Linked DNA regions of Cricetulus griseus. The protein of the gene in region 2 interacts with the protein of the main gene of each other region in a pairwise test. Links are inferred from orthologs where the notes say so. Each region holds a gene or a part of one and is shown on either strand. Other genes may lie near its edges. The genes, in order: Nup54, Ift20, Htt, Exoc7, Washc3, Disc1 and Emilin1.

What was found.
Region 1: the proteins of Ift20 (region 2) and Nup54 interact in binary tests that used the Homo sapiens proteins (3 or more experiments, as listed by UniProt). The two-hybrid records come from large-scale screens. The link is inferred for Cricetulus griseus from reciprocal best matches to the Homo sapiens genes IFT20 and NUP54.
Region 3: the proteins of Ift20 (region 2) and Htt interact in binary tests that used the Homo sapiens proteins (3 or more experiments, as listed by UniProt). The link is inferred for Cricetulus griseus from reciprocal best matches to the Homo sapiens genes IFT20 and HTT.
Region 4: the proteins of Ift20 (region 2) and Exoc7 interact in binary tests that used the Homo sapiens proteins (3 or more experiments, as listed by UniProt). The two-hybrid records come from large-scale screens. The link is inferred for Cricetulus griseus from reciprocal best matches to the Homo sapiens genes IFT20 and EXOC7.
Region 5: the proteins of Ift20 (region 2) and Washc3 interact in binary tests that used the Homo sapiens proteins (3 or more experiments, as listed by UniProt). The two-hybrid records come from large-scale screens. The link is inferred for Cricetulus griseus from reciprocal best matches to the Homo sapiens genes IFT20 and WASHC3.
Region 6: the proteins of Ift20 (region 2) and Disc1 interact in binary tests that used the Homo sapiens proteins (3 or more experiments, as listed by UniProt). The link is inferred for Cricetulus griseus from reciprocal best matches to the Homo sapiens genes IFT20 and DISC1.
Region 7: the proteins of Ift20 (region 2) and Emilin1 interact in binary tests that used the Homo sapiens proteins (3 or more experiments, as listed by UniProt). The two-hybrid records come from large-scale screens. The link is inferred for Cricetulus griseus from reciprocal best matches to the Homo sapiens genes IFT20 and EMILIN1.

What each region holds. Positions count from the first base shown.
Region 1 is NW_023276807.1:157,236,986-157,241,018, forward strand, and holds the start of Nup54 (nucleoporin p54), read right to left. Parts: upstream 2,801-4,033; 5' UTR 2,709-2,800; coding exon 2,642-2,708; intron 2,053-2,641; coding exon 1,891-2,052; intron 1-1,890. UniProt on the Homo sapiens protein: Component of the nuclear pore complex, a complex required for the trafficking across the nuclear membrane.
Region 2 is NC_048600.1:91,930,950-91,934,224, reverse strand, and holds the end of Ift20 (intraflagellar transport protein 20 homolog), read right to left. Parts: intron 2,222-3,275; coding exon 2,136-2,221; intron 1,158-2,135; coding exon 1,054-1,157; intron 646-1,053; coding exon 564-645; 3' UTR 501-563; downstream 1-500. UniProt on the Homo sapiens protein: Part of intraflagellar transport (IFT) particles involved in ciliary process assembly. May play a role in the trafficking of ciliary membrane proteins from the Golgi complex to the cilium.
Region 3 is NW_023276807.1:103,746,839-103,750,980, reverse strand, and holds the start of Htt (huntingtin), read right to left. Parts: upstream 2,801-4,142; coding exon 2,559-2,800; intron 1-2,558.
Region 4 is NC_048600.1:128,883,115-128,886,614, forward strand, and holds part of Exoc7 (exocyst complex component 7), read right to left. Parts: intron 3,079-3,500; coding exon 2,933-3,078; intron 2,692-2,932; coding exon 2,539-2,691; intron 2,247-2,538; coding exon 2,148-2,246; intron 1,820-2,147; coding exon 1,757-1,819; intron 1,461-1,756; coding exon 1,394-1,460; intron 1-1,393. UniProt on the Homo sapiens protein: Component of the exocyst complex involved in the docking of exocytic vesicles with fusion sites on the plasma membrane.
Region 5 is NW_023276806.1:154,207,198-154,211,123, reverse strand, and holds the start of Washc3 (WASH complex subunit 3), read right to left. Parts: upstream 2,801-3,926; 5' UTR 2,682-2,800; coding exon 2,631-2,681; intron 1,872-2,630; coding exon 1,773-1,871; intron 1-1,772. UniProt on the Homo sapiens protein: Acts as a component of the WASH core complex that functions as a nucleation-promoting factor (NPF) at the surface of endosomes, where it recruits and activates the Arp2/3 complex to induce actin polymerization, playing a key role in the fission of tubules that serve as transport intermediates during endosome sorting.
Region 6 is NC_048596.1:201,882,762-201,886,261, reverse strand, and holds part of Disc1 (disrupted in schizophrenia 1 protein), read right to left. Parts: intron 2,085-3,500; coding exon 1,849-2,084; intron 1-1,848. UniProt on the Homo sapiens protein: Involved in the regulation of multiple aspects of embryonic and adult neurogenesis. Required for neural progenitor proliferation in the ventrical/subventrical zone during embryonic brain development and in the adult dentate gyrus of the hippocampus.
Region 7 is NC_048600.1:13,459,272-13,463,508, forward strand, and holds the start of Emilin1 (EMILIN-1), read right to left. Parts: upstream 2,801-4,237; 5' UTR 2,338-2,800; coding exon 2,168-2,337; intron 1,331-2,167; exon of another isoform or gene 1,313-1,330; coding exon 1,187-1,312; intron 776-1,186; coding exon 555-775; intron 1-554. UniProt on the Homo sapiens protein: Involved in elastic and collagen fibers formation. It is required for EFEMP2 deposition into the extracellular matrix, and collagen network assembly and cross-linking via protein-lysine 6-oxidase/LOX activity.

The DNA.
Region 1 (4,033 bases), on a different chromosome or scaffold from region 2:
AATTTTTAAAAAGAGTATGGCAGTAGTTACCTATTCATAAATATGCTGCAAAAGACTTTGAAAACAAACATTTGAACCATAAATGCTGAGTTATACTCCAGGTTTTCTGAGATTCTAACTTGAACCTCATATATTTCTTGTAAATGGATAGCCTCATAAAGATTGCAACATAGAACAGGTGTGATGGTATGTGCCTGCAATCCCATTAAAGGAGCTAAAGCAAGATTAGAACTTCTAAATGAGCCTAGGCTACACAGTAAAAAGCTGTTTCAAAAAAATTTAACTAGTTTTAATCAATTTTGTGGTTCTGGGTATTAAATCCAGGACCTTGCATATAGTAGGCAGGCAAATACTCTATCATTAGGCTACACTCTCTGACCCTTAACAATACAATTCAGATTTAGAAAATTAGTGCATAGGCTATTGCACACACGTAACTCAGTGGAGTCTACTGCAATGCTGCCAGTTAAACATTTTGATGAAACACCTAAAATAAGTACTGTCTTTAGTTCCCTTTTAACTCCCTGCATTCAAAGAGTAACTGTTATTGACCACACAACAAAAACACTAGTTAGTAACTTACCACATTTTAAAATACCAAAAATGCTTTATTAGTAATAGTAGACCAGTATGGATACAAAAAATGTTGTTTTAAAGCTCTTTGCTGAGGCTAAATTAACATATTTGAAAGCAATCAAAACAATTATATTCATACAACTCAAAACTTTAACAGTGACAACTTCAAACGGACATGAAATCAAGCAAATACAAACAGGTTTATTTGTTGCTGTTGAACTATGTGGTTTGCTTTATTCTGAAACATAAATTTCAAAATAAGGTTTGCCCAGTGCCAATTTTAAGCAAAATAGGAAAAGCAAACACAGCAAGGGCAGTGATATGCAAACACTTCTAATGTATCTTAATGAGTCACTTTATCTTTGAAATTTTCAAGTGTATTTCACATTATTTTCAACTCATTGAATTGACACAATATCTGGCTCTCCAAGTAAGTTCAGGAAGAGATGTTTACCAAATGCAAATAATTGGCATGGGCAGAAGTGGCATAACATAGACTATGGACAGTAAATTCATATACGAGCAGCTGAGGGTCACGATTTTTTCAAGGGTCATTTATGCTGAGCTTTCATAAGCCTACTTTAAATTGGGACATACACACCCATCATATTTGTGTTCTGAAATCTTTTAGTATTCTTCAAACCCGTAGATTAAAAAAAAATCTTCGTAATTCTTTTCAAATGCAGAGATGTCTAGCTTGAGTTTTAGAACTCAATGTCATCTCGTAAATTACACTGCTCATAGAGACTTTCCCAAAAAATGGCAGCAAAGAATTGGAGATTCTTTCTATGATTCCATCTCTTACAGGAATACATACTAACGTGTTGATGGAAGAAAAACGTCATTATACAGATTGAAAAACAAGACAGGTCACCGCTGTTCGTATAAGACTTGTTTCTCTTGGAAACACAAGGACAATAAGATGAAATCCCGATGGAATATGTATAAAAAATGAAAAACGACTGCAGGAGTCCAAGAATCCCAGGGAAACGCTGAGCTTATACCGCAGCTAATAATTTGAAAAACATTCTATCCAAAATAAACTCCATTGCAAATTCTTATCATTTTGAAGCTGTACTCCGTATGATTAAATGCAAACCCAACAAAGGAGCATTTTAATTCTCAAGGCTGTCCAAAAAAAACCACATCTTTTAAGACAAGTCAAAACTTGACATACACTCAATTTGACCTCAGGAAACGAACCCTTCCCTTAGCAGACAAGTGCCATTTTTTTCCCTCAAACTCTAGGAACATCGGAACATTCTTGGACTCCAGCCCCCAACCCTCGTTACACACATGACCCGCAGTATCTACCTGCACTCGTCAGACTGTTACCAAAATTGAATGGAGTCGCCGAGGTGGTAGAAACACCGAAATTCCCAATATTAAAGTTCACTGCAGGGTTAGCAGTTAATCCGAAACCCCCAAAATTAAACCCACTGGCGGTGGAGTTGGCAGTCTCAAGCCCACCAAATCCTGATAGACGTGGAGGCAGAGAAAATTTGAAAACGTGAGAGGAGGGGAAGAGAAAAGGAAAAGAAAGCAAGATAAGAATTAACAAGAATCAGCAAGAGGTTTCACAGCGTGAATAAACCTGAGCGGCGCCGGAACCGGTTAAGAGAGCCAAGGAGGCGGGGACACACAGAGGAGCAAGGGCACCAGGGGCCGGGGTCAGCATCCCCCAGGCTGGGGAGGGAACGGAGGGCGCTGCGGGTAGCCTGGCTCCAGCCTTGGCCCTCTGGGCCGGGAGGCCGAGGCGGCCGAGGCGGCCGAGGGGTCGCGGGGCCCCAGGAAGGGAAGAGGGGCGTAGCCTCCCGGGCGGAGTCCCCGGTGGCGGGAAGCGACACGGCGGCCCGGCCACGCGGGATGCGCGCGCCCTGCGAGCCCCAGGCCCAGCCTGAGCAGCCCGCGGCCCTCCCACCTTCGCCGCCCGCCCTTTCCAAATGTCCTCACGGTGTCTCGCGTGCCAGGGCCACCACGGACCCCCAGCCGGACGGTATCGGACCGAGGGGGCGGGCCCAAGGCTTCCGTTCCTCGGAAGAAGGTGGTCCAGGGGCTGACTCACCCGCGGGTGCGGCGGTAGCTGCAGAGGTGCCAGAAGTGCCCGAAGGAGCCCCAAAATTGAAAGCCATGTCGCGGGAGCAGCGCTTAGGTTGTCCCGAGCTCCCGGGCTCCCGCGGCGCACCCGGACGCTCAGTGCTCACGGCTCTCCCGCCCGGTCGGGAAACGCGGGCTGTATCATTAGTTCCGCCTCCTCTCTGGCCGGACGGGAACGCCCCCCCCCCCGTTCTGCTCACTTCCGGGGGTGTGTTGTGGCTTCAAGTGGTTTGGGGCGTCACAACAAAGGGGAGATCAGGGGGAAGTAGGTGTGGAGGGTTGCCAGCTGGCTCTTAGAAGCCACCTTAGCGAGGTGAGCGGCTGCGGAGATTGCGTGCTTCAGGGTGTAACCGTGCCGCCCGGACCACCCAGCAGGGGGCCTTCCGGTAGGACATGAGGATGGAGGAGATGAAGCAGCTGGGAAAGGGGCGTTTAGGAGTGATGGAGAGATAATGGGGCTAGCAGTGACACGTGTGTGTGCTGTGTGGCACGCTCTCCAGTACTCGTCTCTGCATAGTTTACCACTGTCGTCGCTGAACAAAACGGAGGGCTGACCCGGATGAAGCAAATGAGCCCTTTAAATGCTAACGTCTGTGCCCTGCATCACATTTCTCGGGAACACTTAATCCTCAACCCCACAGAGAAGATTCTAATTGACTACTTTGCACAGGTGAGATGGGAGCGTTCCCAAAGTCATTTCGCTGGTTTATCCTGGAATCTAGTTTGGAACAAGATTTTTCTTGACTCAATTCTTATTTATTTATTTATTTATTTATTTATTTATTTATTATGTATACAGTCTTCGGCCTGCGTGCCAGCAGATGGTTGTGAGCCATCATGTGGTTGCTGGGAATTAAACTCAGGATCTCTGGAAGAACAGTGCTCCTAACCTCTGAGCCATCTCTCCGGCCCTGGTGTGTGCCACCAATGCTTGGCTCTTTTTCTTTTTTCTTTTCCTTTTAAAAATATTTATTGCGAAGCCGGGCGTTGGGGGCGCACGCCTTTAATCCCAGCACTCGGGAGGCAGAGACAGGCGGATCTCTGTGAGTTCGAGGCCAGCCTGGTCTCCAGAGAGAGTACCAGGATAGGCTCCAAAGCTACACAGAAAAACCCTGTCTCGAAAAACCAAATATATATATTGCGCCTGGCGTTAATGGTGCATACCTTTAATCCCAGCAGTCGGGAGGCAGAGGCAGGCGGATCTCTGTTGAGTTCCAGGTCATCCTGGTCTACAGAGCAAGTTCCGGGACAGGCTCCAAAGCAATACAGAGAAACCCTGTCTGGGAAAGCCTATATATATCACAGGGACTGAGTTATACCTATGATCTCAGCATTCAGGAGACATGGGCAGGAGGATTGA
Region 2 (3,275 bases):
TGTCCCAGGGTGTCTGCTGTTCCACTGGCTCTCCTTATAGAAACAAGGTTGGTGGGTGTTTTTGCTTGCAAGCCATATTGCTCTGGTTATTACTGTCTGACTTGTGTGTATGGTCCAAATAAAGGTAGCTGCTGATCTCTGCCTGGTTTGTTGTGTGGATGGGGGTTACAACACTTGAATTTTCAGAGGAGCTGGTAATGTACACAGCACCAAAGAAGAAAGAACACACCATTTGCAAAGGGTATTTATTGCTTTTCATTGAGAGCTTTTTGAGGGGAAAAAAAAAATGGGTCAAATTTTACAGGCTGTTTAGTTTGTGCTGAGAATGCAAGAGGTGAGGCCCTGCTCTGCCCTGCCACTAGCAGTGGCCAGACACTGTTTACCAGTTGCCCCAGAGGTACCCCAGATGGGAATACTGCCTCCTTACACTGACATTACATACTTGGTCATCAGTCAGTCACTGGAATAGTACAAAGGGTTATTTTGTTTGTTTGGGAATCTTTTTTTTTTTTTTTTTTTTTTTTTTTTTTTGCCTTCCTGCTATAAATAATGAAAATTTCAGTTCATTTCTGAAAAATAAATTGGTCAATAAATTCATTTTGTTCTGCTTCTACTTTACACAAAGCTTCATATTCAACTCGATACCTGAAAAACAAAATTGTTAGAAGCCCTAAAAAGAATGAAATAAAAACAGGACAATTCTTTGAGAGTATAGAGCTTTAAACAGTTGTAAGAAATAGTGAGCTGAGAACGAAGTCAGGGCAAGAATAAAATGAGCAAAGCCCTACTCAGAGCCATCCAGGAGAAACCTCCATTCCCAGGGAAGGTACGGAGGTGGCCTCAGCCCTTGTTACAGGAACCAGTGCTCAAACTATGGGAGGTCATCTGGAATTAATCAATTAATCCCTACTTTCTTCATATCAAATGTAATTTTTAAAAAGCTTCAGGATACCCAGTGAGATGCTCTACCTGGGGAATGATTTAGAAAGACAAGGTGATCCAGAAGGAAAATGAGAATCTGCAGTTGAGCACTGGCTTGATGTGGCTGCTTACCTTTCTAACTGCATTTTCTTTTCTGCTATTAGCGCTTGCAGTTGCTGCTGTTGGGCTTCTCTCTGCTTTGCTATGGATTTGAGCAAGTTCCGAGCACCGATGGCCTAAGAAACAGCATTGCCAAAGAAGGCATGGTTTTAAACTCAAAGAGGGAAAGGCCACTAGGGAAGGGAAGAGAGAAAGGAGCCCCATGGTTTTAATGGTTAGGACTATTAACCCACTGATCCCAAAGTGCCTGGTGAAAAATAACAGAAGGAAGTCCTCTGGCCTGCAAGTGTATGTAGTGGCCTACTGGGGAGTGGGGGGTGGGGGTGGGGCATCACTTATGCCTTTTACCAAGTCATCTGTACCTGGCAATCTTTCATGTCTTTGTTTATAAAAGGAGGGTAAACACCCACTAGTACTACCATGAAGATCAAAAGAAGGGCAAGTGTGGACTGAAGAGAGGACTCAGTGGTTAAGAGCACTGGTTGCTCTTGGAGAGGAGCCAAGTTCAGTTCTGCAGGCACCCACATGGTGGTTAAACAGTATCTATAACTTCAGTTCCAGGGAATCCAATACCCTCTCTGACCTCCAAGGGCACGGACACCCGGCGCGCGCGCGCACACACACGCACGCACGCACGCACGCACGCACGCACGCACGCGCACACACACACACACACACACACACACACACACGTAGGCAAAACAGTCATACACGTAAATCAATCTAGATATCTAAGGACTGGAGAGATGACTGAGTCATTAAAAGCACTAGCTGTGTTTCCAGAGGACCTAGGTTCAATTACCAGCCCTCAACAGCAAGTCACACCCAAATATTTCTAATTCTAGTTCCAGAGGATCTGAAACCTTCTGGCCTCTAGACACACACAAGTATGTGCACAGACATTCATGCAGACAAGCATTCATTCACATGAAATGAATCTTTAAAAAAAAAAAAAAAAACCACTGGCATATAAGCTCACCATGTTAACTAGGCCAGCATCTGTTATTAAATTCCCGTGTTAAATAAATGAGGCTACCATCCCTACAATAAAGACAAGGCCTGGTTTCCTGGCAAAGACCAACAGCTGATCTTACCTTCATCTTCTCATTCTCTGCTTCTTTCGCAAGCTGATCAACAAGCTCAATTAGACCACCAACTATTTTCTGAAACTGGCCAATTTCTTCAAGGAAAAGAACAAAACATTCTTATTAGCATTCCTTTGAAGTAGGGAGGGCAGAACTAACTGCCCTTTCTAATCTGTGTTACAGCAGCCTGGTACATATGAACCTAAGCCTCCCACCACTGGTCTCACCTAGAAAAGAGGGACCATTACAGAGCTAGACTCTGAGCATAAGCTCCAGGGCTTTCAATAAAAGGTGGTGTGAAAATCCCTGCCTGCAACCTAGCTGGTAGAAAGCTCAAATCAATCATTTAGGTGCCCCATTTCCCATTCACTTTTTCCAGTACTCTTGATATGTTGGAGCCCTGTTTTATTTTATGAAAATAAGGCCAGAGAAGCAGGCCACAGCATACACCAACCACTAAACTGGAAACAGACACCAAGCAACCTGTCATGAAACCATGGCCCAGAAATCTCTTGCTTCAGCTGAGTGTGCGACACAAGCTGGAGCCCCAGCACTAGGAAGGCTAAGTTGGAATCATGAGTTTGAAGCCAACATACAACATACATAGTGAGACCCTCAAAAAAAGGGAAAGAAAATTCCCTTGCTCCAACTTAATTTGTTTTGTTTTTTGTTGTTGTTGAGACAGGGTTTCTCAGTGGCTTTGGAGTCTGTCCTGGAACTATCTCTTGTAGACCAAGCTGGTCTCAAACTCACAGAGATCCACCTGCCTTTGCCTCCCTAGAGCTGGGATTAAAGGCGGGCACCACCACCGCCTGGCATGCTTGAGCTTAATTTGGCCTTTTCCACTGGCACTGGGCTGTCTTAGCAGCTAGGAAAGAAGGCCTCCTGGAGATTTGTAGCCCAAAGGTCACCACTGTGCTGAGCTGCTCCTGGAGACCTTAGTTACCACCTCTAAATCCAAGTAACACAGATCCTGCCACCAAGACTATTCTACCAAGAAATAAAATCAGAATATATAATTCCATTTCCCACCTCCAATTAATAATTCTTCCATCATCAATTTTAAGGTTGTTCATCTAAAAATAGCTCCCTCTCCCCTAGTCCACTGTATTGTTTGAGACTAAATTCGGAGCTCCATGGCAGCACAAG
Region 3 (4,142 bases), on a different chromosome or scaffold from region 2:
TAAAATCCGCAGCTAGAATAATGCTAGGCAAACAGGAGATGATCAGCAAATATTGGTAAATGAATGACTACAATCAGGAAAAATGAGGTAGGAATCTGAAGAGTGAAAAAGGTTAAAAGTGAATGTCAACTGCTTAAGGCCCATCAGACCCCCCACAGCCAGTCCCAAAGAGCTCCTGCATCCTATACACTGATCAGAGAAAGGAGCTCTCAGCTATTTCAACAGAAGCCCACGCACGGCTGTGACACTAGTTCTCTGTAACACAATGAGAGCCATAAAAATAGAACAGATTTATTCTAAAATTGTTTTGGCTGGTCTCAATTTGGAGGAAAAGAAGGGGGGGGCTTTTAACTGAAGCAAGTGGACAAAAATGCCAAAATTGAAGCTTCCAATCAGTATGTTTGTTACTTATCATTAATGAACACCTGTTTTTCCAACAGCAAAGTATACAGAAACAGGAGATATATGCTTTTAGTTAAAATAAATACAAGCCTAATGCAGCTGATTATGGGAAATATTCCAGTTAGTTCTTGCTATACAGTGAACTAACAAGGTTTTAAAACTTTTAAAAGCTTTCGTTCCAAACTACTTTTGTCTATAAATAATTTAAAAATCTGTCCTAACATATGCCCAGATTTTATCTGAAAGGACACATAATGAGTAACAGTGCTTGCTACTGCGGACAGAGTTAGGCACTCAGGAGAATGGGGAGGGAGATGTTTTACTATTTAACCTTTCCTAACTTTGGAACTGGACCATGTTAATGAATTACTTATGCAAAAACAGATTGAATTTGTGCTTGAAGCAGCTGGAGAGAAATCACCCTACCCCACCCCGCCCCAACCCTCCCTTACAGAAGATATGAGGAATATGTGAACTTGCACAATTCCTAACACCCAGAGAGACAGAGTCGTGTTAAGAATCTAATAATTAGAAAATACTTATACAGCCAGGCATGGTGGCACATGCCTTTAATCCCAGCACTGAAGAGACAGGGGCAGGAGGATAGATATCTGTGAGTTCCAGGTCAGCCAGAGTTACACAGTGAGACTGTCTCAAAATATATTACTTATCTAAAGGGAAAGATTTTTCTACTCAAACCCTCTTTGACCTTATAGAAGAAAAATTTATTCCTATATTTTATTCTATCAAATAAGCCAACATTTTTCCCCAAATCTTCATTTAAAAAAAAACAACAACAAAAAACTAGATTCCCAGGGCAGCAAAAAGGATCCTATCAGAAGCACAAGAACAAGAAAAATTACTAAAAATAGGCTGGGAATATAGCTCAGTGGTAAAGCACTTGCCCAGCATGTGTGAGGCCTTAAGCTAAATTCCCAGCAACAAAACAATTTTTTTCCTAAATGAGGATTAATAATGGGATTCTTCAGTAGGTTGTTTCCTGAAAGTTCTCCTTATTAATTATAGAAATCCACATTAGAAATAAAATGTCCAGTTGAAAGGCCTGAACTGCAAGAAAGTACAGGGCTGAACACTCATCGTGGACTTCCAGGAAATGTCTTGATCATCATTTTCTTTTTTAAGACTATTGTTATTCATGGTCTCTCTTCTGTTTCAAATATTCTCACCAGTCACATGCAGCAAGCTTCTGAAGGATGACAAGATGTCAGCAAAGAATTAAATAGGAATTTTTTTCACTGGCACACAGAGTGGCCCATGTTCTAAAAACAAGTCTGACTGTAACACTGATAAAAATCATTCCCTGATGTAAACTGCGCATCACCAACATGTCCATTTTATTTCCAGCAGAAAATATAGGCAATAAATATCAATCGACATACATACATACACACACACACACACACACACACACACACACACACATATATATATATATGACACAGAGACATATAATTTTTATTAATAATCACACCTAAGTAACTCATCATGTACTTGACAACCACAGTTCATCCAATTACCTGCAGGCCAATAGGAGCATACAGAAACATACCTCTCCAGTGATGCTTAAAACCTTGTTACTACACTGTAACATGAACTAAACGAAACACCAGGAGAATATAAAGCGCCTGAAGTCACAGGCTGCTTCAAGTGTCACTTGGAAAAAGAATATCCAATTTGGATGGTTCACATTCCCCCACCCTCAGCACTCCCGCTGAGGCCTCCTAAAAGCATTATGTCATCCACTATCCGCACATCACTCGCGCTGTCCTGCGCTCCCAGCATCTAGGCCTACCTAAGGAGGCGACCCGGGAGACAGGTCTCGCCCTCTCCAAGTTCTCTTGGAGTCATGTGAGCCACAGCCCCAGTTTCTCCCGAAGACAGAAACAAGTTCGCTCCCTAACTTCACAAGCTAAGAAGGGCGAAAGCACTGGGGGCGAGACGCCCCTCGGCGAGTCCGCCGCAGGCCTGACCAGGCTCTGCCTCCAGTGAGGAAAGCTAAAGACCCCCACAAGGCGAGGACCCGGGCCAGGAAGAGGACTGGCGACCCTCTCTCTGGGCAGGGAATCGCGCTGGCTGTCTCCAGCACGCAGGCCAGGGGAGCGGCCCAGGGCAGGAGCTGCGGCGCCCGGACTCACGGTCGGTGCAGCGGCTCCTCGGCCGGACCGGGCAGCGGCGGTGGGGGCGGTGCAAGCGGTGGCGCCTGACCCTGAGGCGGCGGCTGAGGGGGCTGAGGCGGCGGCGGTGGTGGTGGTGGCGGCTGCTGCTGCTGCTGCTGTTGCTGTTGCTGCTGCTGCTGCTGCTGCTGCTGTTGCTGCTGCTGCTGCTGAAACGACTTGAGCGACTCGAAAGCCTTCATCAGCTTTTCCAGGGTTGCCATGACGGCCTCCTGCCCGGCGGGACAGACCCCGAAGGCTTGGAGCCTAGTCGCCCTCAGCGGCGCCACTTAGCAGCGGGGAAATGAATGGGGATCTGCGCGGCGGGCAGAAGCGGAACCAAAGCGCCCAGCCATCTTGGGCCCGTCCCGGCAACCCCCGCGGCGCCTGCGTCCTGTGACGTCATGCCGACGGAAGAGAGGCCACGCCGGATCCGCAGATTTGACAGGCCGAAGCGTCATTTTTCCCAATGCCTGGTTGTAAGCATGCCGGGCCTCTGCCAACTTGCTAAGAATCTCCGCCCCTACGATATGACCCCGCCCCTCTCCGGCAAACCAAGCCTCTGATTGGAGGGAGCGGGGAGAGAGCGTGATGAGGTAGGCGGGGCGGGTTGCTAGATGAGGGGCGGAGCTGAACCAAGAGTGGGTTTGAGGGGAGTGGCCGAGCACTAGATTAGGAGTTACAGGACAGAAAAAAGAGGCGGGCGGAGGAGTTGGCAACTCAGTAGGGTTTGGGGAGACATGGAAGACTAAGAGGTTGGAAAGGGGAAGGGCAGCAAAGAAATTTCCCTGCAGAAAGCCACCCATGGCGGTGGTGGTGCTCAGAACCCGAAACCCAGAGAGGCACTCATTGTCCGCAAGCTGACAGATGGCCTGCTATACAGTCCCGAATGCAGTATGCTAAGGGCTCCCTGAAATGAGAAGGGAACCAGAGTGACCTTTATGCAGGACCAAAGAACCCTTGTGATCCGTGGACCCCTGAAGCACTGGTTAGCTCAGACATGAAAGCCTATAAAAAAAAAAAAAAAAAAAAAAAAAAAAAAAAAGGCGGCACCAGACGATGTGCTGTGGAGGAAGCTGATAAAGGGTTCCAAACAAGTAGCAGTGCCTGCAGCCCAAAGAGAGGCTGGGGTTAGTGCAACTCTGATCGGACACTTCAACTTCACAGTGCTGGACCATGGCACTGCTCTGGTCATCAGCCAGAACCTACAAGGGGCCTCATCGCCACCAGAGCTGAGGTCCTTGTCTCCAGAATCTCCATCTCCCACTGGTGAGCAATTAAACAGGAAGCTTAGAATAGTATGGATACACCCAGCTCCTTCAGCCTGTCCAGCAAAAGGTGTTGGCTTCAGAGAGATCTGACTGGAGGTGATGCATTTAGTTAGGAACCCATTTAAGCTCTTCAGGCTACCCCTAAGACTCAAGAGCCCTATTCCATGGCCATGAGAAACTCCTCCATCTTCTCAAAATGGCCAAGTACACAGGAGCCAACACTACCCATGGGAGGTATAAGCAGCCAACCCCTGTTAAACTGAGGACAGCAGAGAAAGTCTTTAGAATTCCATGT
Region 4 (3,500 bases), about 37 Mb from region 2:
TGCTGTTACTATGGTGGCAATGGCCAAGACCCTTGATGGCCCTTCCCATATCCCAGGGACAGAGGAGGAAGTGTTGGGACAGGCCCTGGGCTTGGTGGGGCAGGCAGGACTGAAGCAAGAGCTCAAGCAAAGACGGGCACCTGCTGAGCTACTGGAAGCACTGTGGACTCTTTCTGGATCCCGGGGCTGTCTTCTATAGTAATGGGTTAAGGAGCCAGCCCTTAACAGCAGGCAGGCAGGAAGGAGAGGTGTGGGCTACCGATGCCTTCCCAACCTTCCCAGCCTGGTCCCTACTGTAAGATGGGTGGTATCTATTAGATCCCTTTTACTTATTTGTCAACAGCAAGGATTTCTAGATAGGGTCACCTAGTCTTCCCAGTTTCTCCTCACAACTCTGAACCCCCCACCCCCAGCAGAGAGCTCTGATATAGAACAGAAGGCCAAAGGGAGGGGGTTAGGCTAGCCAGGGGGTGTTCTTGGGTTCTGGTTAGGTGGTGCCTGGATAGGCTTAGAGACAGAAGGGAGCTGAAGGGAATGGGGGGGGGGCGATGAGGGCCCCTTAAAAAACTCATACCCTGCCCCCAGTGGGTCCTGAGAACTAGTACCCTGGGAACCTCAACCACAGGGCTTTGGAGGGGAGGATGGGGCTGGGGGACCACACTGCTTACCTCGGGGGTCTAAAGGAATATTGTATGTGTCCCCGAGAACTACGGAGTGACAGGCAGTGCACACAGAGGGGGAGGAGGGAAACAGAGGAGGAAGAAAGATGCAAAGTGCAAAAAACAGGTTAGAAATGGCTGTGTCACCCCAAGCCAAGCAGACCTTTCCCCCATGGCAGCCAGACACAGACAGCAGCACACACCAAACCAAACTAACTCAAGACCAGAAACACACTGGAAAGTGCAGCCCAAGAGAACTGGGAGCTCCTTGGCTTCTTGCCCACCAAATAAAAACAAATGGAGGGCCCCAGGACCTCAGTTCTTGGAATGACCCAAGCTCTCTTTACATGCCAGCATCCCAGCTCCAGTCCCACCAGGGGGCAGCGAGGAGGTGGAGCAACAGAATAGGCAGACAACAGGAGGGAGTGGAGAAGAGTGGCAGTGTGGAGGGACAGGATGAGACCTGAGCCCTGCAGTGCCCACCCCAGAGCACTGACAGCCAAAGGAGCAAGCAACGGGTGGGGTTCCTAAGAATGCCAACAAACCCACAACTCCTTATGCTGATTCTCCAGAAATCCATGGGCTTAGACTTCCCCACAGGCCATGTCTTAGTCCTATTCCATGGGCTTGGGGAAACCCCTCATCACACCCTGCCCGCACCTACAGCAAGTAAGTGCCTACTAGGGGCCTAACTCTATACCCCCAAAGCAGCCCCCAGCACAGGGGTCATGTACCTTGGGAGGCCAGCATGGCACCCGCTGTCTCCTGGAAGTCCAGAAGCTGCTGTAGGAAAAGGATGGCCTGGGAGAGAGAACACATCCAAGAGGGTTGGGGGTCGCCCAAGGAAATGGCTTCCCACACAGAGCCTTTCCAACCAGCAGGGCAAGTCTGCGGCAGCGGTCTTTATAGCGACAAGAGCAACTGGAGATTTCAGGTGTTACCTTGGGCTCTGGCTGCCTGCACTACTGAAACTAACCCTTTACCACAAATGAAGCCCAGGAGCTCTGGGCAGGCTGGGTTCCCACTAGTGGTGTTGCCCCCAGGGCCTGAGCTGGGTGCTCTCTGTCCCACCTCTGCAGTGTTTGGGCGGCACCTACGTTGCTTGTGAGCTCGTGAACTGTGCCGTCCTTAGGCATGTTGTACTCTTTGTCTGGGTCATTCTGTGGGAAGAAAAAGAACAGCCGCTGGTTCCTGGATAGGGAGTTCCCCCAGCCTGAGTCCCAGTTAGCCTGCCTATGGCGCCACCTCCTGGTCATGGGTGTTAGGCTGTCCCTCAGTCTCAGGGCTTGGGGCCCACAAAAGAAACAGAGGTGCCCAGAGGGTCTCCCCTGCAAACCAGCAGTGGGGGGTGGGGTGGGGGGTGGGAGGGAGGTGTGTGCGGCTTTTCTACAGAGCAAACCTGACTCTCTTGAAGGCCTGCTCTCTGAGGAGTCCCAGGAGCTCAATGAGCAAGCCAGGCCTGGTGAAAGAGAAAGGGGTTGCAGGTACCTTAATGTTGTCGGCAAAGTCTTCTAGTGCTTTGGCTCCAACGGTCTCCATGGAGGTGATGAGGCCGGGCAGCTTGTTCTTGGTGCTGGCTGCTGTGCCCTGAGGAAGGACATGGCAACTGACATATTTATTCAGAGTCAGGCTCACTACTCCCTCCAGCAAGCTGTGAGTCTAACTTCTTCTAGGTCCTTCACCCTCACTCCAGAGGCTGCATTCTCCAGCTCAGGATTAACTACGCTCTTCTCTTTCCCTGTGAGCATCTTAAGCTGTCCACAGCCTCCCAGGAGTCACCTCAGAGGACAGGTGGGAGGAGGGCCTGGAACAGAGCTCCCCAGAACCGAGTACAGGGGAGCGGGGGCGGGGGGGGGGGGGAGAAGAAAGGCCCACACACCTGGAGCACCTGATCAAACTCAGGCTTGGTCTGCTTGAGGTGCCGCAGGATGGGGAAGACCGTGAGCACTGTGGAGAAGTCGTGGCGGATGATGGCTTTCCTGGCAGCAGACACAATGTTCTCCCCCTCAAGCATCAGTCCGTCCAGGGCATCCTGGGGGAAGGACAAGGACCCTGCTCAGGCAGGGGCAGAGCACAGCTGGTCCCTAGGAACAGCGGGGCACCCTGTGGGTGTGCAGGGGAGCTAACAAGCTGTGAAGGGTGGGGGAGGGGTCATGGACTACACCAAAGAATCCAGGGCTTAGGGCAACAGGCCTACCACGCCCTCCAGATTCTGCAGTAAGTCACTGCAGAATGGGTCAGTGCTCGGAGCTGCAGGGTGGGCAGGGTGAGACCTGAATCAAGGAGTCAAAGGTTCTCTTCTGGTGGAGCTCCGGGATGATGAGAGTCAGCAGGTGGTATTCACTCTGGGCCAGCTTGACAAAGGCGCTGACACAGTGAATGTAGGCATCCGTTTCCACATCCAGCATGTCATCTCTCCCTAGGGGGACAGCAGTGCCCCTGAGTGGCCGGTCTGGGAGATGCCACTCACTCTGCTGGGGTCTGAGTTTCTCCAGCTCCTGGGCTGAGCCCAGACCAGCAGTGAATGGAAAGAGCAGGCTATTGTGACAGGATGCCCCAAGAGCTGCTCTGGCAGGCCTGGGAGAGCAGGCGCCACGTCCAAACGTTCTCCTGGTATCACTTTCCACTCGGCATAGGCCGTGTTTATGGCCCCAGATCAAACACTAGAGGTGGTGGGAAAAAGCTAGAAGGAAGGAAAATTCCTAAACCAACTCCCTGGGTAGTTATCTGACCCCAAGCATGAGGATTCTGGATTGTGTTTGGAAGAGGACAGTCTGGACTGGGCAGGTGGCAGTGTCATTTTATGGAGGCAGTCATTGTGGTCCTCAATCTGGGAGATGT
Region 5 (3,926 bases), on a different chromosome or scaffold from region 2:
TATTTGAATTAGAAACAAGATTGTTTTACATGGCAATCCCAGTTCCCTTCTCCCTCTCATTCTCCCCTTCTACCCCCCCCAACTAAAACTCTACCTATCACATATCTTTTTTGCTCCCCCTGGATGGTGATGCCTTCCATAGGGTGTCGTCAGAGTCTATCATACCCTTTGGGATAGGGCCTAAACCCACCCCTGTGTGTCTTGGCTCAGGGAGTATTCCTCTATGTGGAATGGGCTCCCAAAGTCCACACCTATGCTAGCGATAAGTACTGAACTACTACAGCAGGTCCCGTAGATTTCCGAGGTTTCTTCACTGAAACCCATGTTCCTGGGGTCTGGAGCAGTCCCATGCTGGTATCCTAGCTATCAGTCTGGGGACCAAGAGTTCCCTGATGTTCAGGTCAGCTGTTTCTGTGAGTTTCACCATCCTGGTCTGGACCCCTTTGCTCTTCACTTGTCCTTCTCTGCGTCTGGATTCCAGTTCAGTTTAGTGGTTAGTTGTTCTACCAGTGCTTCTATTTAGAGAAGCAACGGTATAAGAGAGACCAGATTGAAAACATGGCTTGGCAGCTGAGAACACTCATACTTGCAAAGGAACCAGAATTGACGGCCAGCATCCACATGGTGGCTCATAACTGTCCATAGCAACAGTTCTAGGGGATCTCATGCCCTCTTCTGACCCATGTAGGCATCAGACATGCATGTAGTGGACAGACAAACATGTGAGACCCTCACACACATAAAATAAAAGTAAATCTTAAATTTCTGAAAAGACCAAAACAAATGAGAGAGAGAGAGAGAGAGAGAGAGAGAGAGAGAGAGAGAGAGAGAGACTCCTCACTATATCATTAGTGATTACATTTGGAGGAAACGCTAAAGACATTGTGATGAAGAAATAAAAACAACAGTTGGGACTATCAATGTTACTCAGAGGCAGAGTGCATGCCTACCCCATTCAAGACCTTACTCAGAATCCACAACTTTATAAACAGCTCGAATTTTACACAAATGACAAGTCTCCTATCTGCAAGCAATCCTGATTAACAGTTACATATCTAACTTTGTTAAGGGTTTGCCTTGTATAAGACAATATAAGATAACATTGCATTGATTCAGCTGGGACTAATCTAGAAATCTCTTCTATTTCCTTTCTTAAATTCAGTTTCAATATATATTCTCCATTTTCCTCCTCATCCAAAAAAAAAAAAAAAAAAAAAAAAAAAAAAAAACCCAAACCAAACCAAATAAAAACCTTTCTCAAAGATCAGGCGGGGGTCCTGAACCTGGCACCTAATTCTTAATTATGTGTTTAATTTTTACTGCACAGGTTATCCAGACATTTGCAGAAGGGTATTTTTTTTTTAAAAAAATGTATTTCTAGGCTTCCTCCCTGAACCACTTTGGCTCAAAGAATGCAAAGTAATTTAATATAAACACAAACATATACTTAAAATATAAAACTCTGGAGTAGGAAAATGAAAAACTTTAAAATAAAAAATTCAACTGTGAAATTATTTGTGTGTGTTTCTCATAATTATAAAAAACTTTATTGAGCTCACAGAAACGCCTAGAATATGAATTCAGTTGAGGGATACAGGACTGATGGTAACAGAATAGAAGAGACGCCAAGGTGTCTTAACACAATTGGAGAAGGTCTTGGCAATGTGAATAAATGAAAGCTGTAATTTTTGCTTCGCTCTGTTAACCTGAAAGGTGGAAGATGACTTCTCAACTACTCCATAAACTAGTAGTAGCACAGGACCTGGACCTACCTCCTCACAAACTGTGGAAAACCGGTTGAGAAACTGCACCGTGTGCACCACAAACTGGTTTAGAAAGGCCACGGTCCTTTTCTGTTGAATAGCTGGCACCTGTGTTACATAAAAACAAGCAAATATGATTCTTACAGGAGAGACATACACTGTGCAATCCTCTCGATATCTGTTTCGTAAAGACTATGATTTTGCCCTGTGACATGAATTTCATGGAGGGCTGAGAACAGTCCCTGACTTGTTTTCCTGAACCGTGTGTGTGTCAAAGTGACAGGGGCTGCAAAAGTTTGAGAGTGTGCTACACACACACACACACACACACACACACACACACACACACACACACACACACAAGGGAGGGAGCAAGGGAGGAGGAGAGAGGAGAGAGGGAGAGAGGAGAGAGACAGAGAGGGAGAGGAGGAGGGGGAGACGGAGGGAGGGAGAGAGAGAGAGAGAGAGAGAGAGAGAGAGAGAGAGAGAGAGAGAGAGAGAGAGGAGGGAGAGAGGGAGGGAGGAGGGAGGAGGGCAGAGAGAGAGAGAGAGAGAGAGAGAGAGAGAGAGAGAGAGAGAGAGAGAGATTGAGGATCAGAGAGGTAGTGTTAGAAGTGGCACTATTTCCAGACTGTCAGCCTTGGCTCAGAGTCACATGATGTGGGGAGCGAAGGCTGCGAGGCACATCAACTCTTTAATTAGCTCAGGAGGGAACCCTTCGAAAGTGGACTGCGGGGCTCCCCCTTCCCTAGGCTAGCAAAAAGGGGCCCGGGTTGGGCCTGGAGAGGTGGTGTCTCCCGGGGAACCGGGGCCCCTTGGCCAAGCTACTTCCCTGTTCGCCGGAAGCTTAAGTCATCTTTTACAAACCTTGGTCAGGTCTATGCCTGACCCCATAAGAGGAAGCCCATCCTCATCCATCTCCACAGCAGATGGGGACACCGGGGCTCAGGCACAAGCCCCTCACAGCCCGGTAGAAAACCCCGACTCCCCTTCCCAAGTTCCTGCCTCCGGGGCCTTTCCGGAAGAAAGATCCCGAGCCCACCAATCAATCAGTGGCTTCAGAGAGTCCGCCCCTTCACTCTCGCTCAGCATTCTGGGATTGGTAGTTCAAGGAGCTGATTGTAAAGCGGGCCTGAGAATCACTGCTGAAGAGCTGATGCTATTTTAGGGGTGGGGGGGACCTCTGCCTCCAAAGAATAGTGAAGACATGCAGAATCTTGATGTGCAAAATTTAGGTGAAAGTTGTGGCACTGTAAATTAACATATACAAACCCTTGTGTCTCCATGGGTACATGCACCCACATGGACTCAAAGCACTGTGGTGCTGTAGACGATAGGCGCTTCTAAGTTGTCCAAGCAAAGAAGAGGAAACCAGCTTTAGTAGCTACTTAACTTTAAGAAGAGCTAAGATGACAATCTGACCGGGCTGTGGTGGCGCATGCCTTTAATACCAACACTCTGGAGGCAGAAGCAGGTGGAGCTCTGTGAGTTTGAGGCCAGCCTGGTCTACTGACTGAGCTCCAAGACAGCCTCCAAAGCTACAGAGAAACCCTGTTTTGAAATTCACCCCCATCCCCACCCCCAAATGACAATCTGGAGCCAGGCACTGGTGGTGCACGCCTTTAGTTCCAGCACTCGGGAGGCTCTGTGAGTTCGAAGCCAGCCTGGTCTACAGCGCAAGTTCCAGGACAGGCTCCAAAGCTACAGAGAAACCCTTATCTCAAAAAACAAACAAAACACCAACAGCAACAAAACACGACAATCTGGAATGAGGAGTATAGTATGGAGGGCAAAGGGAAAGCTGTTTGGTGGTATTAGCAGAGATAGGGAATAATGAGAAATAAGACGGAAATAGACACAAAGAGCTGATGAAGGACCTTTTATACCAGAATAAGAGCCATGTTTTTCTAAATGGGATTCATGGGCCGCTGGTTGGGAATGCTTCTTAAAAGGCCTGCTCCATAGGAAGACTTGGTGGACTTTGCAGAGCCCCCGTTGAGGGCCCTACCCTGCCTGGGGAGTGGTGGGTGGATGGGGGTGGGGGGTGGGCTGGGGGAGGAGGTTTGGGGGTGGGGGAGGGAGAGGGAGAAGGGACTTGAAATAAGCTTCTTCCCTAACTAGAACTAATAAAACAAAAACAAAAACAAAAACAAAAACAAAAAA
Region 6 (3,500 bases), on a different chromosome or scaffold from region 2:
TTGCACTTGACTGATGCCAGAAAGCACCTGGAGTCTGAAGCTGGCTTCCATTGATGGTGTCGAGTTTGTGAGTGACAACAGCTGCCATGTTGATCTAGCCAGGTGTGGTGATGAGTCCCAGAACTCAAGAGGTGGAAACAGGAGGACAGACAGCCACAGTGAGGCTAGCTGAAACTAAAGAGTCTCCCCAAACAGTCAGCCAGAAATCACAGAATGAGGATCCCCACAGGTAGGGAGCACAGTGGCCCAGCAGAGTCCTAAGCCCTGACTGCACATCCCTGCCCATCCACAAGCACTCCTTTCCCACATGTGTAAGTGTGTCTTCCATGTGTCTCCAAAATGAGATTGAAACCCCTTAAGAGCAACAACTTAGAGGGCAGAAACAGGAGGATCCCTAGTTCAAGGCTAGCCTGAGATATACAGAGAACTAGAAGCCAGCCTGAGGTACATAGTGAGACCCTGTCTTTAAAAAAATTAAATACAACCTAGCAGATGTGTATATGTGTATTTCACAAGCTCTCTGCAGTGTAAAACATAGGAAAGACCCCTTCGTGATAGATGAGACACCACATTTGAGAAAGCAGGAATAGCAGTCTATCTGTTTTTCTCTCCTATTAACACTTTGGGCAGATTATCAATTTTTTAAATTATTAACCTTCTTAAACTACTTTTCACTGTCTGTAAAACAGACAGCATAATTGATGTGACCCACAAAGTAGCTCTGCCCAGGACCAGGCATTTGACATTGCTTAGCCAGCAACAGCAGCAACACAAGCTCATTCATCCCAGTGACCTGATAAAAAAATACTGCTTATGTTGCCCTCTTGGTTTATTTGTTCATTTGTTTGGAGTTTTTGTTTGGTTTGGTTTGGTTTGGGAGTTTTTAATTTGGTTGGTTGGTTGGCTGGTTGGTTGGGTTTTTTGTTTTGGTTTTTTGGGTGTGTGTGTGTGTGTGTGTGTGTGTGTGTGTGTGTGTGTGTGTGCGCGTGCAGAGGGAGGGTCATATATCTTCCTCAATCACATTCTGTCTCATCTTTGTAATATAGGGTCACTGAACCTGGAGCTCATTAATTCAGCTAAACTGGCTAGCCAGCAAGCCTTAGGGATCCTGAGTCTGCATTCTCAGAAATGGGGTTACACTGCACCCAGATTTCTATGTGGGTTCTGGGGATCCAAGATCAGGTCCTTGCGCTCATGCAGTAAATACTTTTGTAACTGAAAATCTCCCCAGCCAGCTCAGACTCTTCCGATGCCACAGCCTACCCCCCAAGTCACACTCTTCCAACGCCATGCCCTACCCCCCAAGTCACACTCTTCCAATGCCATGCCCTTTCCCCCAAGTCACACTCTTCCAATGCCATGCCCTTTCCCCCAAGTCACACTCTTTCAATGTCACATCCCATCCCCCAGGTCACATTCTTCCAATGCCATGCCCTATGCCCCAAGTCACACCCTTCTGATGTCACACCCTACCTCTTAGAAGTGAAATCTCTTTCCAGATAATTGTCTTCAGCAAAAGCCAATGTCAAAATCTCTATCCAACTGACCCCAAATTTGGGAGGGAAGGGGAAAGGAGAGACAAGCCAGCCCCTTGGAATTTTGGAAACTGCCTATTGGAGAGGGGACAGTGCTGGCAGCTAGGGATTGGGTGGACTGGATGCCAAATAACTCCCAGTGCTCAGAACTGACCCCGCAGTGAAGAATCTTACATCTCAACACCACCAGCACTTCCACTAAGCAAACAAACCACCTGAGAAGCACCTGTGAACAATGAATGGGCAGCAAAGCCATCTCAATAAACAGGTGAAAGAGGGAACGCTGGAAAATCAGTTAGAAAATCACCAATACCTCCTAAGGGTTTCAGGTGGCTCCACACAGAAAGGAGCCTGGCTGGCAGAGGTCAATGTCTCTCCCAAGGCCTTGCTGACTTCCTGCAGCTGTCCTGGGGACAGCTGGGCCACCAGTGGCATCAGATCACAGCCCTGCCACTGGAGCAGTGTCTCCTGATCCTCCAACTCTTGGCTCAGCTGTTGTTCTTTTGCCTCCAGCGCAGACATCCTTGATTGGAGAGCTTCGATTTCCTTCTGCAGAGAATGGGGGAACAGATTTCATCCATTAACCCTGCTCTGCTACTAATGAATCGGTTAAATGAGAGCAGGCCATATGCACCACAATCTCGGAGCCCACCCCACTCTTCCGAGGCAGGCCAATTCCAGAAGTCTGCTGAACTGGGAAAATCATGCCAGTTTTATGTTTCTGATGAGTTGGCAGGAAGAAAAACATCCTCTCCTTCCCAAGCATTAAATACGGACAAGCGCTAGCCAAGGTTTTGACTTGAGAGAACCCAGCAAATGATGTATCACTGGCTTCGCTTCTGATGGGGAAGCAAAGGCACTAGCCACTCACACCAAACACTGAGACACCAGCTGTGGGCCAGGAGGGGAAAGGGCAGCCTGCTCCCAAACACAAGAACTTAGGATGTACAAAAACACAAGAACCTTGGCTTGTCGGGTCAATAGGATTGGGAGAACAAGATTTGTCGAGCCAGAGTCTAGTGTCCTTCAGACTGTTGGACCAATTTACTTCCCAGGATTGGTGAGAGAACTCCATCAGTCAAGTGCTTGCCATGCAAGCATGAAGAGCTAGTTCTGATACCCAGAACCCATGCAAAAGCTGGGGACCCACAGAATGAATCTGCAAACCCAGCATAGGGTAAGGGGAGGTAGAAGACAGGAGGATGCCAGGGACTTGCTAGCCAGCCTGTCTAGCCCAATCAGTAAAGTGTAGATTCAGTGAGAAACCCTGTGTCAAAAAAATAATAATAATAAGGTAAAGGGATATTGGAGTAAATATCAAATATCAACTTCTGTCCTCCACATACATGTGCACATACATGCACCTGTGCCCACATTCAAACTCAAACACACACACACACACACACACACACACACACACACACACACACACACACACACACACAATTTGCCCTAATTTATTAAGCTGGAATCTAAGTTAATCCATAACCATCATCTGTCTCCAGGCCAAGAAATAAACAAGCAGCAGGTAATTGAACACAGTGTGAGCTCAGCACTGGGCAGATAGCCATCTCACTGCGTAGGAGTCTGAATATAACACCAGGCTCTACTAACGGACACACCCCCTGTTCCCTCACTGTTCCTAGCTGATAAGAGTACAGCTTAATTCCTGATATCTCCCTATCTCCAGGATGTTCTCTCCACCCACAGTGCAGATTCTCCACAGCTTCTACCTCCTGCACCCACCCAGAGAAGAGAGAGGGCTGAGCTAGCCCACAGTCTCAGTGTGCTCAACAGAAACTCAAAACTAACCACTCTGTGAAACCCACACTCTTTGTTGCTCTCATTTTTGTTTTGTTTTGTTTTGGTTTGGTTTTGGTTTTGTTTCTCAGAGTCAACATCTCACTCAGTAACTAGCCCAGAACTCATCTTATAGCCCAGGCTTGAACCTATAGCAATAAAGCC
Region 7 (4,237 bases), about 78 Mb from region 2:
AGTTCAGTTATCTCTTTGGCAGGAAAAGAGCGGGCATCCGGTGTGCCTAGCCTAGCACATACACACAAGAGGAAAGAAAATGCAACAGGGACTATTGCATTAGGGAGGTCTGCAGTCTCCAGGGGCCAGAATGGGGTGTGGGACCTGTAGTCAGGTGCAATGCATGCTAGGATTTGTAGTCTTAACCATCTTCAATGAGGACAGACAGAGTTTCTCAAAGGAATTCCCCACTTCTCCCACAGCCTTTCCTACTAGGAAGGACCTTGGCCGCGAGAGGGCGTATGTGAGTAAATCCTCTCTATGTCTTCTTACTCGGCTCTAGGTTTTCAGGTCTTTCAATCAATCTACCCTCACTCCTGTCCCCCACTATCCCCCCCACCACACACATTCAGACCATGAAAGCATAAACACATTCAGAATCTCAGACTCGTCATTACTTCCTTTCTGTCTGCCTCCTAATTTAGAGCACAGAGGTTTCCCTCCACAGTCAGGCCCCACATTTACCACCCCAGTAACTTGTAACAAGTTACAACCCTAGTAACTTGTGGACTCACCTTCTCCCCCTAATCCACTGAGGTGGCTGCCTGCACTGGAGCCAGACAGATTGGGGCGCACAGGCCTGGGCCGGGGGTGTGGTGTGGAGGGTGCAGGGCCCTGAGCAGAAGCAGGACCCTCTCCACAGTCATCGCCCCCATACCCCTGACAGCACCGCCACTCCATGTCTGTTACTGTCTTGTAGGCCACTCTGTAGCGAGGGCGAAGGAAGCTCCGGTACCTGGCCAGAGGAAAGGAAAGCTTTGTATTTTCTCGGTTCTGGTTCTGTCAGTCACCTTGTTCTTCAGGTTGTTCTCACTCTCTAGCCAGTATGTGTGTGGCCTTGCTCACTTGACAGCTATCAGCTTTTTAGTTAAATCTGGGCTCTTCCTCCCCTTTCCCTGTGCTAGAATCAGAGTTCATTGCTATGAGGACAACCTGTCCAACAGAAGGCCTGAAGGTTGCAGACAAGGGAGGTACATTTGTAGCAGCTCGCCAGCTGAGCCAGGACCCTAATACCTTCTCAAAACAGTCTGATTGGTTTGTCCTGCCCCCTGCCCCTGATTTGTAAAGAGACCCTGAGTAGCTACCAGTTGTCTGTCCTTGCCCAGCTCACACTGAGGACCCAATCCCTTAGTGTTGGGGGGCTCACATGATACTTCGGGGACACTGGGACTGGCCCCAGCCACAGGGTTGATAGTCTGGCTTGACAAAGGTCTCCACTCCATCCTCAAGGACGCAGCTCACTGTCCGAGTCACCACGTAGGCACACCAGTTCCTGTAGGCACAACCCTACCTGGGCCAAAGGACCAAAGACACAAGCCCTGGTGGGCCCAGAGGCTGAAGGAAGGTCAAAAGATGAAGGGGCCTTGAGGACAGTGAAAGTGAGGGGTTTGAGAGGGTAGCCCCCAATCCACTTCTTGTGTCACCATAGATAAAAGCTTTTCAAGACAGGGAGGGTGTGATGACAAAAACACACAGAGAAGTCAGTCCTCATGACTGTGGGGTCCTAGGCACCCAGGGAAATCACGGGCCCTCTTGCCCTTCCTTGGGCTTGTCTCAAGCCCCCAAACAACTGGGATACTGGAAATAATCCTCTGCACATGGTGCTTCCACCCACCCCTCAAGGAGGAGAGCAGGGGCAGGCAGATGTCAGGCCTATGGTTAAGTAGAGAATAAGCCACCGACAGAGTCTGTGCCCCTGGGGTTTGCGGTGCTGTATTCTTGGCCCCATTCACACTGGCTTCTCATCTGTGGGCTGCTGTGGAGCCAGAGGGAGCAGCGCAGGAGGAGTTATACATTAGCAGATGGGACTGAGGAAGCCCTAGAGAAGGACAAAAGGACTGCCTGATCCAGAGCTGGCTGGCACACAGCTGGCAAGAAGGTCTGGTCCATGCCCCTCAGTGCAGTTTCCCTGGGCACCCAACTGCAAGTCTTCATAGGGAAGAGGGGTGTAAGCTGATCCCCCTTAGGCCACCAAAGCCCCAGAGAAAGGCCATATGTGAGGGCCATTGATGAGTGGGAGTCTTCATGCTCCTCCTCATTGCATTAGAGGTATAGCCGGTTGCCAACTTCTGAGGACTTTCCTGATCACAGTCTCCAGCCCTGGCTGGGAACACAGAGTCTTTCTTACCTGTGGCGGCTGGCAGGCCGTGGAGAGTTCTGGGTCTGGGGTCCCCCGGGGCTGAGGGCCGAACTGCCCCCTGTGTAGAGGCTGTAACCTCGAGGAGGGTAGCTGGCAGCTTTCGTGGCTACGGTCAGCAGATAGCAGAGATAGCAGCTCCAGAGGGTACTGGGGGCCATGGTGAGGTGTTCCTTGCCGCCCTTAGAGACACATCCCGACTTGACCACTGGTGCCTAGACCCGCGCCTCCACGGGATGCCGCTGCTTCAGGGGACAGCCCGCTAAGCCAGTTCAGTCCTAGCTTCCTGCCTGCAGCCCCCAAGCCACACGCCTCCTCCTTGGCTGCTAGGCCTGACCCTTCTATCCCCCTCCTCTTTCCTCCTCAGGCTCCTGTCTGTCCCTCCCTCAGTTCCTTCCGCTCTCCTCTTCTGCACTTCTGAGGGGAGTCTGTTCTCTGGGCCCCTGGCCTCCTGTGCCTGGTCCCTGCCCCTCTCAGAGGCAGTTTCCTGAGCCTCCACCCCCTGGCTCCAGCTGGCCCTCTTCTCGTCTCCCTGTTCTGTTCCCTGGTGACTGATCCTAAGGATGACAGAGCTTTGCCCCTGTGGCTGTTAAGAGGCACAAAAGTGACCATGGGCGGGCCAGCCTCCTCCCTCCCCTCCCCTCTCTCTCCTCCCTTCCCCCTGTCTGGCTGGCGGTCCAGCCTCCCTCTTCCTCCCCCACCTCTCCAACCATCGTGCGCCACATCTGCTTCTTGTTAACTCCGGGAAAGAGGGGGGCAAAAAAAAAAAAAAAAAAAAAAAAAAGGAAAAACAGAGAAATGTGGAGTTGCCGCCGGGCTTGAGGCCAACCTCTCAGACAGGCCACATGGAGCTGGGGCCAAATCTGGATAGGAGGCCCAGAGCTGGTGTCTAGGACCAGAACCAGCGCCAGAGTCCCAGCTCCCCTGGGTCAGTGAGAACAGGACCCTTGAGAGAAGAAGAGAGAGGTACCCTGAGGACAGGAGGAAGGCAGGGAGTAGCACACGTGGGGGGCTCAGCAGGACCTCATCACCCTTGGGTCCTTCTGCCTCTTTTTAGAGGCTCACAATGAGAAAGCAGTTCATTGTCCAAGGTGACACAGCAAGTCAATAACACGGCTGAGATTAGACTTTAGGCGACTCTAGTGACTCAGGAAAAAAAAAAAAGGAGGTGGGGGGTGTGAGGGGAAAGAACTCCATGGAGACATGGGAAACCTGAGAGAAAGAGAGAGAGAGAGAGAGAGAGAGAGAGAGAGAGAGAGAGAGAGAGGAGAGAGGAGAGAGAGAGAGAAGAGAAGAGAAGAGGAATGAATCAGAAAACAAAGAGCCGTCTTTTCTTGTACAATGACTGCCATTGGTAAAGGTCAGGCTATAACCCTATAACCAGGAGGGATGATTACAGTGATGGTAGAGGTAAGACTTGGTTGCTCTCTGGTTTGGAGGTCAGTCAACCTCTCTGTTACCTACAGAAAGCTCTTGGTGAGCTGACTGCTGCCTCTTTTCTGGACCTGCCACTCCCAGGGGACGAGAAGGGGGAAGCTGCAGTACCAGACAGACAACAGCAACAAGAGGCTGCTGTGTGCCAGGCACTGGAGAGGTGCCGGGGTTGCAAAGGCAAGCCTAAAAGTCTGTCACTGTCCATTAAGGAACAACTTGGGTTTTGGAGAAAGGAACAGGGCCCCCAGACAGACAGCCACAGAGGCAGGACAGACCAATTGCCAAGAGGCCAGGACAAAGTGATGATGTGTGTTCTGGCTAAGAGGAGGGGAGAGACAGCTGGCTGCTGGGGGTAGGAGGAAAAGCTGCTGGAAAAGGCAGAGCTTGAACAGTGTGTGGAGGAAAGGAGGGAGGAGTGAAGGACAAGACAAGGGACAGGCAGAGAATTCAGGCTCAGGGAACATGATCCGCCTCAGTTTCTTCCTCAAACACAGGGATAATATAACCTCATCCATCTTAGGCTTGTGAGGATTAATACAATTAAAACATTTCAGAATAGTGCCCAGAACTTAGTATATGTTCACTCTTTTTTTTTTTTTTTTTAAACACTGGAACTTGTGGTAATCC